Anolis sagrei: one gene and its partner. Each later gene encodes a partner of the first gene's protein in a complex. Links are inferred from orthologs where the notes say so. Each region holds a gene or a part of one and is shown on either strand. Other genes may lie near its edges.

What was found. The genes of interacting proteins can lie anywhere in the genome.
Region 2: LSM11 (region 1) and LSM10 share a complex: the UniProt entries of both Homo sapiens proteins name them as parts of the heptameric ring U7 snRNP complex. The link is inferred for Anolis sagrei from reciprocal best matches to the Homo sapiens genes LSM11 and LSM10.

What each region holds. Positions count from the first base shown.
Region 1 is NC_090022.1:80,301,488-80,308,581, reverse strand, and holds the start of LSM11 (U7 snRNA-associated Sm-like protein LSm11), read left to right. Parts: upstream 1-4,088; 5' UTR 4,089-4,602; coding exon 4,603-5,017; intron 5,018-7,094. UniProt on the Homo sapiens protein: Component of the U7 snRNP complex that is involved in the histone 3'-end pre-mRNA processing. Increases U7 snRNA levels but not histone 3'-end pre-mRNA processing activity, when overexpressed. Required for cell cycle progression from G1 to S phases.
Region 2 is NC_090034.1:85,136,402-85,144,075, reverse strand, and holds the start of LSM10 (U7 snRNA-associated Sm-like protein LSm10), read left to right. Parts: upstream 1-4,654; 5' UTR 4,655-4,741; intron 4,742-5,867; exon of another isoform or gene 5,868-5,911; 5' UTR 5,912-6,033; intron 6,034-7,674. UniProt on the Homo sapiens protein: Appears to function in the U7 snRNP complex that is involved in histone 3'-end processing. Increases U7 snRNA levels but not histone 3'-end pre-mRNA processing activity, when overexpressed. Required for cell cycle progression from G1 to S phases.

The sequences.
Region 1 (7,094 bases):
TTACTGATTATTAGAGAAGGTCTCAGGTGGCCAGACTGGAATAATAAAGTTATTGTATAAGGGAGATATCACAGCAGGGTATGTTTGTAGGTCATGGTCTCATTTTACTACTGCCTGGGAAACTATCCAAAACCTGCTGTTGAGAGGACTGTGGCAACTATTGTAGAGAAAGTTCTTTCCTTATGGTGTGGAGTTCAACAAGAGTTTGCGTTGCTCTTCGGCCTTTTCTTTTGTCAAAGCCACAAAGTATCAAGACCTTGTCCAAAACGGGAAATGGAACAACATGGATCAATTGTAAGATTTTACAAGGACACTTAACCATACGTAACGTGGGCTGGAAGATTATGATAAGAGGAAGCTTTTATGCAGGCTAATGATGCTCTCTTGGTCCTCTCTATTGGTCTTTTCCCTTTGTCTTTCTTTTTTAAATGTGACAAGATTTGGAGCAAAAGGCATTACAGCATCATTCATTGCAGCCTGTTTGAAAAAGATAACTAATAAAGCTACTTATCTTACATGGTTATCTGTAATGTAGAAGCCACATACAGTTAAATCTGCTGTTATCTTCAGGCCAAGATGGTTAAAAAAATCAAGTGGGGAAAGTAAAGTGACAGACCTAATTTTAACGAAGGGTGCTTTGCATTTTTAAATGGGGAAACAGGCTTTAGTACTTTTTTCTTTTTGTCCCTATCAGTTTCATGGCAATGGTGAATGGAATTGAATGTTATAGTCCTTTGAACACCTCAAGGCAGAATACAGATACTTGCTAGCATTGTGAGTTCTCAACTGGAGTTTTGCAGCATTTTAAAAAAACAGTCATGTTGTAGAACTCCGTCATTCAGGTAGTCTGCATTCAACTGCTGGTCTAGTTGATTTATGTTGGAATTGAAGAGAGGAGTCATCTTGACCTTCAGACAAAAAAATGTCTTAAGCTGGCACTGATTAAACCTTAGGTTGCCTTCTGTATTTCTGATGCCAGACACTGATTCATAATTTGGAACAGTTTCTCTTGGTTTGAATGTTGAGTGCATATTGGCTACTCTGAATTCACTCATGGTTTTATGTCAAACCTAAGCACCATATTATTACCCATTGGATCCACATTCCCAGTTCAGTATTTTCTGATGCTTTGGACTTTTTAACTCCCATCAGCTCCACCAAGAATGGTCGAGAATTGGGCAAAAATCATGGGAGATGTCCAACACATCTGGGTGTCACCAAGTTGGAGAAAACTGATGAGGATATTAAACAGAAAGAATAGAAGCAGCTGTAACAGGCATGGGCAAACTTCGGTCCTCCAGGTGTTTTGGGGGCTGAAGTTTGCCCATGCCCAAGCTATAAGATACTGGCTCTTAGCTCATCAGTCCACAAAGGTAAGGTACTCAGGCTGATGGATAAGGCAAGCCAGAGAGAAGCTTGTGCTACCACTCACAAGCAGAGAAATAATGTTGCTTTCCTAAGGCCCTTCCACACTGTTCCTATATCCCAGGGTCTGATTCTGGCAGTGGAGACTCGTGTAATCCAGTAATCCCTGAAGTGTATCAGAAGCAGATCTGGATTGCATCTAGATTGGACAGGGTACACTCCAAGGCACAGGATACATGAGTTCCCAGTAGTTTGTACTGTGAGGCCACAGCTGCTTTTGGGACAATTCACAGTTGTTTTGTCTCTCCTAATCTGGGGTGTGGGATTCCTGTTGTTTTGCAGTAGGGTTCCTAAAACAGCATTTAAAAGTTCACTAGTCACAGTGTGTTTCAACCACATCCATTGGAAGAAAGAAGATGTCAGATTGTGTGCCTGTATGGGAGTCTGGGAGTCACACTGGATCCCACTCCTTTGGCTGCATAACTCACATTGATCCAGCGGATTGCTGTTATCTGTGAGGATTGCAAAGTAATGTGGCTGTTTCAAGGATATGTTTACAATGTCTCACTATCGCCTCTTGTAGGCATGTGATTTCTCCTTCTGCTTTCCTAGTTGCGGAGGATGTCTCATAAAAGTCAAGCCGGTGACATTTACTACATTCCACTCTGTACAGAATCCCTGGCTTGCAAGCGGGTAAACATGACGACACCCTCTCAAATCAGTCATGGAAACTGTTTACGTAACGGGCTCAAAAGTCTGCTGCATGTACAACCTGAGCTGTGAAGTATATAAATGTGTACCTTTCTTACACCCCTGCATAACACTAATAGGGGTTGAGCATCCCTTGGGACCAGAAATGTTTAAGGTTTCAGAACAATGTACATAATGAGAATCTTAGGGACTAAACATGAAATACATTTATGTTTCATATACATCTACATATAAAGGTAAAGATTTCCCCTTGACATTAAGTCTAGTTGTGTCTGACTCTGGAGGTTGGTGCTCATCTCCATTTCTAAGCCAAAGAGCTGCCGTTGTTTGTAGACACCTCCAAGATCATGTGGCCAGCATGATGGCATGGAGCACTGTTACCTTCCCGGAGAAGTGGTACCTATTGATCTACTTACACTTGTATATTTTCGAATTGCTAAAATGGCTGATGCTGGGGTTAACAGTGGGAACTTGCCCCGCATCCCGGATTCAAACCGCCGATCTTTTGGCCAGCAAGTGGTTTAATCCGCTGCACCACCAGAGGTCTAGATATAGCTAGGGGTTATTTTATATTTTATTTTAAATCATTTTGTTTAGAAAGCAAAGGTGCTCACTCTCTTACTATCTGTGGGGACAATTTGAGAGTACTGTATATACTCAAGTATAAGCCTAGTTTTTCAGCCCCTTTTTTAGGCTGAAAAAGCCCCTCTCGGCTTATATTTGAGTCAAGGTTATTTATTATTTTACTCTTATTATTATTACATTTACACATAATATTGATAATAATATTTAATATTAATATTATTTTATTATTGCATTTATTATTTTACTCTATTATTATTGGAAGGATACGTAAACACATGTACATTGAAGGTTAGAATAATGGTTTTTGTCAGAGTTGGACAGTCTTACCTTCCAGTTTTATGTAAATATTAATAAACATTTAACCTACTGATGCTTCAATTAATATAATTTTATTGGTATCTATTTTTATTTTGAAATTGACCAGTAGCTGCTGCATGTCCCACCCTCGGCTTATACTCGAATCAATACGTTTTCCCGGTTTTTAGTGGTAAAATTAGGTGCCTCGGCTTATATTCGGGTCGGCTTATGCTTGAGTATATACAGTATTTCGGATCTCCAGATAAAGCAGGCCTGGGCAAACTTGGACCCTTCGGGTGTTTTGGACTCCCGCAATTCCTAACAGCCTCGGGTCCTTTCCTTTCCCCACCTTAGCTGCTTAAGCAGCTGAAGGTGAAAAGTAAGCATCCTGAGGCTGTTAGGAATTGCAGGAATTGAAGTCCAAAACACCTGGAGGGCCCAAGTTTGCACAGCTGAGAGGGAAAAGGAAGGGTCTGAGTCTGTTAGGGATTGCGGGAATTGAAGTCCAAAACACCTGGAGGGCCCATGTTTCCCTGGCTAGAGAGGAAAAGGAAAGGGCTTGAGGTTGTTAGGGATGGCGGGAGTTTAAGTCCACGTTTGTCAGGCTGAGGGGGGAAAGGAAGGGCCTGAGGCTGTTCGGGATTGTGGGAGTTGAAGTCCAAAACTCCTGGAGGGCCCATGTTTCCCTGGCTAGGGAGGAAAAGGAAAGGGCTTGAGGTTGTTAGGGATGGCGGGAGTTGAAGTCCACGTTTGTCAGGCTGAGGGGGAAAAGGAAGGGCCTGAGGCTGTTAGGGATTGCGGGAGTTGAAGTCCAAAACACCTGGAGGGCCCAAGTTTGCCCAGGCCTGAGATAAAAGGGTTGTTGTCCTGTAGTAACAAACAAAGGCAGATCTTCCATATAAACAAGGCCTCTCTGTGGGAGAGCCAGATGGTTCCACCAGAAAGTTGTCAATCCCCACGTCAGGCCCAGATCCCCACTCCTCCTCCTCTGAAGAAGAAGAGCAGAGATCCCATTCCTGGCCCCTTTGTGCGTAGTGTGCATAGAAGAGAAAATGCGGTGGCATTTATTTAAAACAGTGGGAGGAGAGATGTCATGTTAGAAGCGGCGTTGACAAGTGCGTGGGCTTTACACTTTCCAGAGCGCTTTTCCTCATGGTTTTGCCCCCCACCTCCCCTCCGCTTCTATTCTGAGCGTGGAAGCGCCATTTTTTAAACCAGGCACAACGTTCAAAGCGAGCCAAGGCGTGTAGTTGTCTTTTTTATTCCTGTCAGTGGCGAGACTAAATTGTGGGTCTGGAGGTGACCTTGGAAATGGATGATTCTGGGAGACTGAGGTGTTGAGAGAGAGAGAGGAGGGGGAGCCTGGGCCGGAAAGTGGCGGGAGGGGAGTTGGGCCGTGGCGCCCGCCCGTAGTGAGTTACTCGTTGGCTTGGAGGGAGCAGCATGGGAGCTGGAGGCGCTCAATCCGTCGGCTGACTCCAGGATCCAGGGACCGGGAAGGCGCGAAAGGAGAGCCAGGCCTTGGCTGGACACAACGTGCTTAATGTGAGAGGGACTGGGCCCTCCTGGCAGGGCTTGAGGCGCGGAAAGACAGAAGGAAGGGAGGGAGGGAGAGCGAGCGGGAAAGGAAGGAAGGACGGAGTCATGGAGGAGAAGAGGCCCGGGCGCCGTAGTAGCCGCCGCCGCCGCTCCCGGGAGCGCTCCCCGAGCCCGGCCCGCTTGGACGTGGCCTCCCCGCGCTTCGACCCGCTCCTGGCGCTCTATTCTCCGCGGACGCCGCTGCCCTTCCCGGCCGCGCCCTGCTTCAACAACCTAGCCGAGTACGAGAGCTTCCAGCGCGGCCGGGGCCCGCAGGCCGGAGAAGCCGGGCGCAGCAGTAGCCGCAGCAGCCGCCGCCGGAAGGGCCGAGCCGGGCGGGCCGCCTCCGCCCCTCCAGACCCCGCGCGGATCCAGCGGCTCCGGAGCCTCATGGTGGTGGAGCAGGCCGCGCCCGAGGAGGCCGGGAGGAGCCGGGCCCGGGGCAAGAAGGCGCCGCGGAACGTCCTCACCCGGATGCCCCGTAAGGCGCCATCAAGCGGGCAGGCAGGGAAGGAGAGAGGGAAGGAGGCCCGCCTCGAGGGAGAGGAAAGGCGGCGGGCAGGATTCGCCCCTGGCCTTGGGGTGTCCCTCACTCGGGATGCTTGCCATACAAAGTCTCCAAAGCCGCCCTACAGAGGGAGAATGGGAGCTAAATCAGGCATGGGCCAATTTGGGCCTTCCTCCAGGTGTTTTGGACTTCAACTCCCACAATTCCTAACAGCCGGTAGGCTTTTAGGAATTGTAGGAGTTGAAGTCCAAAACACCTGGAGGAAGGCCCAAGTTTGCCCATGCCTGAATTAAATGTACCTTCATTTACTTCATTTACAAAATATTCATTACAAACTATTTTTATTCGCTGTATATCTAAAAGTATACAAATATACAGCCATCTAAAATATATAATATAACACATAATGTGAGTTTGTCATTTTTTCCCTATGTATTTAGTGCCACAGCAGGTTAAACCCCTGAGCTGCTGAAATTGCTGACTGAAAGGTTGGTGGCTGAAGTCCAGGGAGTGGGGTGAGCTCCCGCTGTTAGGCCCAGCTTCTGCCAACCTAGCAGTTCGAAAACATGCAAATGTCAGTAGATCAATAGGTACCACTTTTGCGTAAAGGTTACAGCGCTCCATGCAGTCATGCCAGTCACATGACCTTGGAGGTGTCTATGGACAACACCAGCTCTTTGGCTTAGAAATGGAAATGAGCATTACCCCCCAGAGTCAGTGTCTAGACCAGTGGTTCTCAACCTGGGGTCCCCAGATGTTTTTGGCCTACAACTCCCAGAAATCCCAGCCAGTTTACCAGCTGTTAGGATTTCTGGGAGTTGAAGGCCAAAAACATCTGGGGACCCCAGGTTGAGAACCACTGGTCTAGACTGAGTGTCAGGGGAAACTTGTACCTTTACCTTTTATGTAGACTTTTGTGACAACCTGTACTTTTGATGTGTTGTTATTATTATTATTATTATTATTGATACGTCTTGGGGGATGGGACCATTTTAAAACTGGAATTCATTTGTGTTTCATTTACAGCTGAAACACATTGAAAGGAATTTTATACAGAATACAGGTTGAGCATCCTTTGCATCCTTGGATGGTGTGTTCCTTCATGGCAGAATAGGAATGGGCTGGATGGACCTTGCAGTCTCTTCCAACTCATAATTCTATGATTGATCCTTGGGGCTAGAAGTATTTTGGAGATATTATTATTATTATTATTATTATTATTATTATTATGGAGACATTTTAGGAAACATCTAATCTCTGACCATTTAATACACTTTAATACACAAACCAGCATTGAAGAAAGTGGTTCGCTGTACAGATTATTATATAGGAAATCCTGGAATCAGTCTGATGGTTGCGCAAACCACAGAGCACTGATGCGCATTAAGGACTTTCAGGTCATACATGCAGCAAACGTTCGTTGTCTGGCCACCCCAGCATCCAGCTGCATGAAATGGTCAGTGTAGATGGAGCTTTTGAGATGGGACCAAAGTCTAAACAAGATATTCATTTGTGTTTCTTATGCACCTAAGATGCCTAGCTGGAAATTAAATTTAGACAGAATACAAACTGAGCATCAAAGTATGCAGAAATCCTAAATTATCCAAATGGGTGAATAAGGGCGGTTCTATACAGCGACTTAAACCAAGTTAGGAAGTGAATGAAAGAGAACCAGTCTCTGGTGGAACAACTAAATGGTTGCCCCAGGAACTGGTTAGAGACTGGGATGGTGGCCACACTATCCACTGACTGCGAAACAGGAGCAAACCCAGAAACTACAGTATCAGTGACTAGATGCGCATATCCATGTCTGTTAGGAATCATCCCAGTTTTGAGCCCTACATGGGATATACTCTGGTCAACTGCACCAGATTTTCTGATTTAATCCGATATTTCTGGTGAGTTTTTTAACACACTTCTTCAGACTTAATGTGTGCTTACAGCATACACTGGGGTTGTATGTTATGTGGATACCCCAATCTCAAGACAGCTTCAATGCTTAATAATAATGCTTGTGTGGAATTGTCTTAAGATAGTGATATATTTGTTT
Region 2 (7,674 bases), on another chromosome or scaffold:
TCATGGGTTTTTAGTTTATCTTTTCTATTACCATTTCTTCACTCAAAAGCAATTTGGAAAATAAGTATTCTTTATATTGAAGGTATCACACTGGCAACGAAGATCCGCATAGTTAAAGCAATGGTATTCCCTGTAGCAACCTATGGATGCGAGAGCTGGACCATAAGGATGGCTGAGCGAAGGAAGATAGACAATTTTGAACTGTGGTGCTAGAGAAAAATTCTGAAAGTGCCTTGGTCCGCAAGAAGATCCAACCAGTCCATACTCCAGGAAATAAAGCCCGACTGCTCACTGGAGGGAAGGATATTAGAGGCAAAGTTGAAGTACTTTGGCTACATAATGAGAAAACAGGAAAGCTTAGAGAAGACAAAATTCTGGGGGAAATGGAAGGAAAAAGGCAGCGGGGCCGACCAAGGACAAGATGGATCGATGGTACCCTTGAAGTGACTGCCTTGACCTTGAAGGAGCTGGGAGTGGCCATGGCTTACAGGGAGCTCCAGCATGGGCTGGTTCATGAGGTCACGAAGAGTCGGAAGCAACTGAACGAATAAACAACAAAATATTGAATGTGGAAGATTTTCTCAAGTATCCCATCTGCAAAGAGCCAAAGTGGCTTTTTGCATAAGTCAATCTGAGACTGAATTACACTCCCATTACCAATACATTGGTGGCACATAAAGCATTAAACGGTGATACAGTCCACTTGGGAGGAACATGAGCCACTTATAACACTAAGTAACATTCTTTTTGATCCTGGGTTATACATGTCATTTACTAATTGGGTGTATCAAAAACATGGAAAAATGGATTAAACTGCAAAAACTTTGTTTTTGCTGGGCATCCTGTAGCACATTTTGCTATAGTTTTTCAATGAATATCTCATCGATTCTCAACCAATTCAACAAAGTTTGCAGCAGCCACAAAAACAAAGCTTCTGGAGTAGAACAATGAACTTCCAAAATAAGGACTGCACAATTAAACAGAAAATAACACTTTCAGGAACTGATTTTTTTTTCAAATTTTGTTAGTGTACTGAATTCCAATGCCTTGATGAATCTATGTATGTGGTTCCAGAGATGCAAGGTGTAACAGACTGGCCTACCTTAAAGGGTTGATGTAAAAGGCAGAAATCAGGCCCGGGTTGCTAAGGCTAAGAAGAGCTGAGGGGAGGAGCAAACAGGCAGCCTCATGGCCAGGAGTGCAGTCTGGTTGATGTAGTTGGAGGGAAAAGCTCAGCAACTGGAGATGGGTGGAGCCAGAAAGGGGGCGAAAAAGCTGAGGCAGCCATTTTAGATCAGGAGTATGGTGAGGAAGAAGACAGAAGTTTTGAAAGGGAAAGGAAGGAAGATTTTGCAAACTGTTTGTGGTTTAAATATATCTTTGAAGATAATAGTTAATAGGCCTCTATAGTGTTTAGAGTGCTGGGGAGGAAGGGAGAGTCAAAAGGTTTTAAAGATCCTGTTTGAATTTCTGTGTGTGGAACTTTGTTTTAAGAAACTAAAGATAAAAGTACCATCCTCTGTAAGAAGTAAAGCCTGATAAGTTATTTGAAACCCTTATGCATATTGACTGTTCAAAATAAACAACATATTCCTGTTTCATTTTCACTGAAGTCTTCATGTGGCTTTTTGAACATTCCAGTTGAAGGAAGTGGCCTATTAAAATAGTAAATTGGTGGCAGCAATAGACACCTTTAATAAATAATAGGAGGCAGCAAAGGCAAAATATAGAATACAGTGGTAGCTTCCCACTGTCTGGCCTTGTGTGTCTGTGCTCTGAGTCCCTCACGGCCTTGCCTTGGGCCAGACCTTGTTGTTTGTCCTTTGCCCTCTATCTTGTGTGTGGTCTGCCTGTTGCAAATTCTGCCTTCCGACCTTCCATCTTTGTTGCTGTTTTGTTGCACAAGGTCACAGGGGAAATGGCCACTTTTCCATGGATCAGGGACTCCTTTTCCAGATGGGAGACAGGCAATATTCTATATTTTGCATGTAAAATGTTTTTGCTTCTCATCCTCAGCCATAAAGGCTCCTGTAGCCACTGGCTTACAGTCATTAAATATATAGCACCAGCTTCTTTTTTCAACCAGGATGCAAAGTGCATGGGGACCCAATGGTATGTTTGTGTGTATTTGTAAAAATACACCTATTATTGGCACCCAATAAAATTAGAGAAATGGGAAAAAATCTGGAACCAGAAGATTAAATACACATATGCGTACGAATTAAGAGAAAATTGGCTTAAAATTATTCATAGGTGATACATCACCCCCCACAAAATCTCTAAATGTTACAAAAATGCCTCAGACAAATGTTGGAAACGAGAACCTTTTCCACATCTGGTGGACTTGTCCTGAAGTAAGAAAGTATTGGACTGACATCCATTTGAAAATACAAAAAATAATGGATACGAAGCTTGAAAAGAAACCAGAATATTTTTTGCTGGGAATGTTAGAAATAGCGGAAGACAAAGATAAAGAAATTTTATTCAGTTATTTAGTGATTGCAGCGAGAATAGTGTTTGCGAAGACTTGGAGGAGGAAAGAAATCCCAAAAAGAGAGGACTGGCAAAAGAAAATTGTAGAGGTAATGAACATGGACCAACTAACATATTGGATTTCGCGAAACCAAGGCCTTCCGAAGAAGCAAGCAAATTGGGACCTGGTAAAGAACTACTTTAAGCAACTGAAGATCAATTTGATTATTTGAAATATGATACTCACAAGATGTCACATGAGACATGGGGAAGTAAAAAATAATTTCCTGCCATATCAATAGCTAAACTATCAACCACCGATGAATAGAAGGAAGTCAACCTGTTTTTTGGGAGTTTTTTTCCTTTCATTTCCTACTTTCCTATCCGGATATTGTTCCCACACTTTCAATGTACCGATCTCTTTCTATAGTTAAAGATACAACAAAAAAAACTTTAAATAGAAAGATGTTTTATCCCTTACCTTTTCTTTATTGCCTACTCCCCTCCCCTCTCCTTTTTTTTTTTGATGTTGTTTACCTTTCTTATAATTTATTTATTTATTTATTTATTTGTTTATCATGTCAGGAGCAACCAGACAGTTGTATTACATTTTTAACAAAACAAACAAACAAAACAAAACACAAAATTTGCAAGCTTGGTAGCTGATTAAATGTCCTTTGACCAGTATCTGGCCACTTGGAGTGCCTCTGGTGTTGCTGCAAGAAGGTCCTCCCTTGTGCATATAGCAGGGCTCAGGCTGCATTGCAGCAGATGGTCAGTGGTTTGCTCTTCTCCACACTCGCATGTCGTGGATTCCACTTTGTAGCCCCATTTCTTAAAATTGGCTCTGCATCTCGTGGTGCCAGAGCGCAGTCTGTTCAGCGCCTTCCAAGTCGCCTAGTCTTCTGTGTGCCCAGGGGGGAGTCTCTCATTTGGTATCAGCCATTGGTTGAGGTTCTGGGTTTGAGCCTGCCACTTTTGGACTCTTGCTTGCTGAGGTGTTCCAGCAAGTGTCTCTGTAGATCTTCGAAAACTATTTATTGATTTAAGTCATTGGCGTACTAGCTGATGCCCAAACAAGGGATGGGCTGGAGATGTCACGGCCTTGGTCCTTTCACTATTGGCTGCTACTTCCCAGCGGATGTCGGATGGTGCAATACCGGCTAAGCAGTGTAATTTCTCCAGTGGTGTAGGGCACAGACACCCCATGATGATGCGGCATGTATCATTAAGAGCCACATCTACTGTTTTAGTGTGGTGATGTGTGTTCCACACTGGGCATGCATACTCAGCAGCAGAGTAGCATAGCGCAAGTGCAGATGTCTTTGCTGTGTCTGGTTGTGATCCCCAGGTTGTGCCAGCTTTCGTATGATGTTGTTTCTAGCGCCCACTTTTTGCTTGATGTTCAGGCAGTGCTTCTTGTAGGTCAGAGCACGGTCCAAAGTGACTCCCAGGTATTTGGGTGCGTTGCAATGCTCCAGTGGGATTGCTTCCCAGTTAATCCTCAGAGCTCGGGATGCTTGTCTGTTGTTATGGTGAAAGGCGCATGTCTGTGTTTTAAATGGATTAGGGATCAGTTGGTTTTCCCTGTAATAGGCAGTAAGAGCACCTAGAGATTCAAAGAGCTTCTTTTCAACCATCTCAAAGCTCCCTGCTTGAGTGGTAATGGCACGATCATCAGCATAGATGAAACTCTCTGTCCCTTCTGGCAGTGGCTGGTCATTTGTGTAGATGTTGAACATGGATGGAGCGAGCACGCTCCCCTGAGGCAGGCCGTTCTTCTGTTTCCGCCATCTGCTTCTCTGGCCCTGGAACTCAACAAAGAAGCTCCTGTTTTGTAGCAGGTTTCCTATGAGGCGGGTGAGGTGGTAGTCCTTTGTGATATTATACATTTTTCTCAGGAGGAGGCGGTGGTTCACAGTATCATAGGCTGCTGACAAGCCTAAGACAACAAGTCGAAGACAACAGCAAAGTGGGGAAGGAGTTGTGGCTTCGAACATTACCTACTTCCAATCCTGGAAGCGGGGGGGGGGGGGAAGCAGCGAGCCAATCAAATGCCATCTTTCCGTGTCCGAGGACCGCCTTCCGGGCCAATGGAGTTGCTTCTCTGTTCCATCGGGGCGGGGGCAAGTCCAGGCGAATGGGAAAACGAGGCGCTCTGATCTAGCTCCGCCCACTTCAGAGCCTCTGAGTCGGGAATCTCCTATTACGCATGCGCTTTTTGGTGGTCTTTTCTGCTTTGCACGAGGAAGCAGGAAATCCTGGCCAGGTAGGCGATGGATTGCATGTCCCATTATCCCTCCCAGCGGCTGTGCTTTGGGTTTCTGTTGTTAGTTTGGCAGTAGCGTAGACCCATTGAATCCCATGGATTTACACCAATGTAGAGCTATTAAGCAGTTGCATTAGGCATAATTGAGCTATGCGTTTGGGACTAATAGGTTGCAGAAAAGCTTCCTGCTCTTTTTAAGGGTGGGGCTTAATGGAACCCAATCAAAAGTTTGGAAAAGTTACTTTTGACAGGAACTACAACTCCCAGAATTGTACCAATATTTTCCATTGTGTTCAAGACCAGGGCTTTGAATCATAGAATCATAGAATCAAAGAGTTGGAAGAGACCTCATGGGCCATCCAGTCCAACCCCATTCTGCCAAGAAGCAGGAATATTGCATTCAAATCACCCCTGACGGATGGCCATCCAGCCTCTGTTTAAAAGCTTCCAAAGAAGGAGCCTCCACCACGCTCCGGGGCAGAGAGTTCCACTGCTGAACGGCTCTCACAGTCAGGAAGTTCTTCCTCGTGTTCAGATGGAATCTCCTCTCTTGTAGTTTGAAGCCATTGTTCCTTGTCCTAATCTCCATGGAAGCAGAAAACAAGCTTGCTCCCTCCTCCCTGTGGCTTCCTCTCACATATTTATTCATGGCTATCATATCTCCTCTCAGCCTTCTCTTCTTCAGGCTAAACATGCCCAGCTCCTTAAGCCACTCCTCATAGGGCTTGTTCTCCAGACCTTTTATCATTTTAGTCGCTCTCCTCTGGACACATTCCAGCTTGTCAATATCTTTCTTGAATTGTGGTGCCCAGAATTGGTAATAAGAGGATGGATTCTGGGAGTTGCAGTCCTCCCAGTTCTTCCCAGGGGGCGTCTACAAATCCTGGGAGGCGCTGTCCTCTCAGCGAAGCCTCAAGACTTTTAAAACTACAACTCCCAGGATTCCATAACATTGAGTCAGTTAGTCATTCTACTGTTTCTCAGCTTGGGGGTTGGGACCCCAGACGGGGTCATGAGGGGGTGTCAAAGGGGTCTCAAAAGACCGTCAGAAAACACAGTATTTTCTGTTGGTCATGTGGATTCAGTGTGGGAAATTTGACCCAATTCTATTGTTGGTCGATTGTAGGTGAACTATACATCCCAGCAAATGTCAACGTCTATTTTCCCCAGACTCCACCAGTGTTCATATTTAGACATGTTGAGTAGTCGTGCCAAGTTTGGTCCAGATCTATCATTATGTGAATCCACAGTGCTCCTCTGGATATAGGTGAACTACAACTCCCAATCTCAAGGTCAGTGCCCACCAAACCCTTCCAGTGTTTTCTGTTGGTCATGGGATCTCTGTGTGCCAAGTTCAGCTCAAATCCATTGCTGGTGGAGTTCAGAATGCTCTTTGATTATAAGTGAACTATAAATCCCAGCAACTACAACTCCCAAATTACAAAATCAATTCTCCCCCAACCCCACTAGCATTCACATTTGGTAGTGTTGGGTATTTGTGCTCAATTTGGTCCAGTGAATGAAAATACATCCTGCATATCGGATATTTACGACTTATAACAGTAGTAAAATGACAGATATCAAGTAGCAACAGAAACAATATTATGGTAGGGGGTCACCATAACATGAGGAACTGTATTAAGGGGTCACGGCATTAGGAAGGTTGAGAACCACTGTTCTACTGTATAGAGTAAAGCAAGCATGGGCAAACTTCGGCCCTCCTGGTGTTTTGGACTCCAACTCCCACAATTCCTAACAGCCGGTAGGCTGTTAGGAATTGTGGGAGTTGGAATCCAAAACACCTGGAGGGTCGAAGTTTGCCCATGGCTGGACTAGAGGCACCCATAGTTCAAATACATAGATAAAACAAAAAGACCATTCAAACACATATTAGAAGGCAGAATTCCACAACACGAAGCCATGGTCATTAAAGCGGTATAAAACTGCATTCAAATGCACAAATGAGGCAGTGAGACCATTCAAACACATATATTAAAAGATGTGGGGTTGCATCTGAACTGCAGGATTCCATAACATAAAGCCATGGTCATTAAAGTGGTACAGAACTGCATTCAAATGCACAGATAAAGCCATGAGCCCATCCAAACACATATTAAAAGGCTTGGGGTTGCATCTACTGTAGGATTCCATAGCACTGAGTCATGGTCATGGTAGAAATGTACAACATGCATTAAAAATTGGCATTTCTGCATTAAAATGCACAGAGAAAGCCGTGTGACTATTCAAAGATATATATTAAAAGGTGTGGGGTGCATATTCTACACTGTAGAATTCCATAGCACCTTTTTTTCATATCAGGAGCAACTTGAGAAACTGCAAGTTGCTTCTGGTGTGGTAGAATTGGCCGCCTGCAAGCAAGGACGTTGCCCAGGGGACGCCTGGATGTTTTACCATCCTGTGGGAGGCTTCTTTCATGTCCCTGCATGGGGAGCTGGAGCTGACAGATGGGAGCTCACCCCACTCACCGGATTTGAACCGCCAACCTTTCGGTCAGCAGGCCTGCCGGCACAAGGGTTTAACCCATTGTGCCAACGGCGACTCCTTCCATAGCTCTGGGCCATGATCATTAAAGTGGTATATAACTATATTGAAATCCATAAATAAAACCATGAGATCATTCAAACACATATATTAAAAAGTGTGGGGTGCATATTCTACACTGTAGAATTCCATAGCACCTTTTTTTCCATGTCAGGAGCGACTAGAGAAACTGCAAGTTGCTCCTGGTGTGAGAGAATTGGCCGCCTGCAAGAAAGGACGTTGCCCAGGGGACGCCTGGATGTTTTACCATCCTGTGGGAGGCTTCTTTCATGTCCCTGCATGGGGAGCTGGAGCTGACAGATGGGAGCTCACCCCACTCACCGGATTTGAACCGCCAACCTTTCGGTCAGCAGGCCTGCCGGCACAAGGGT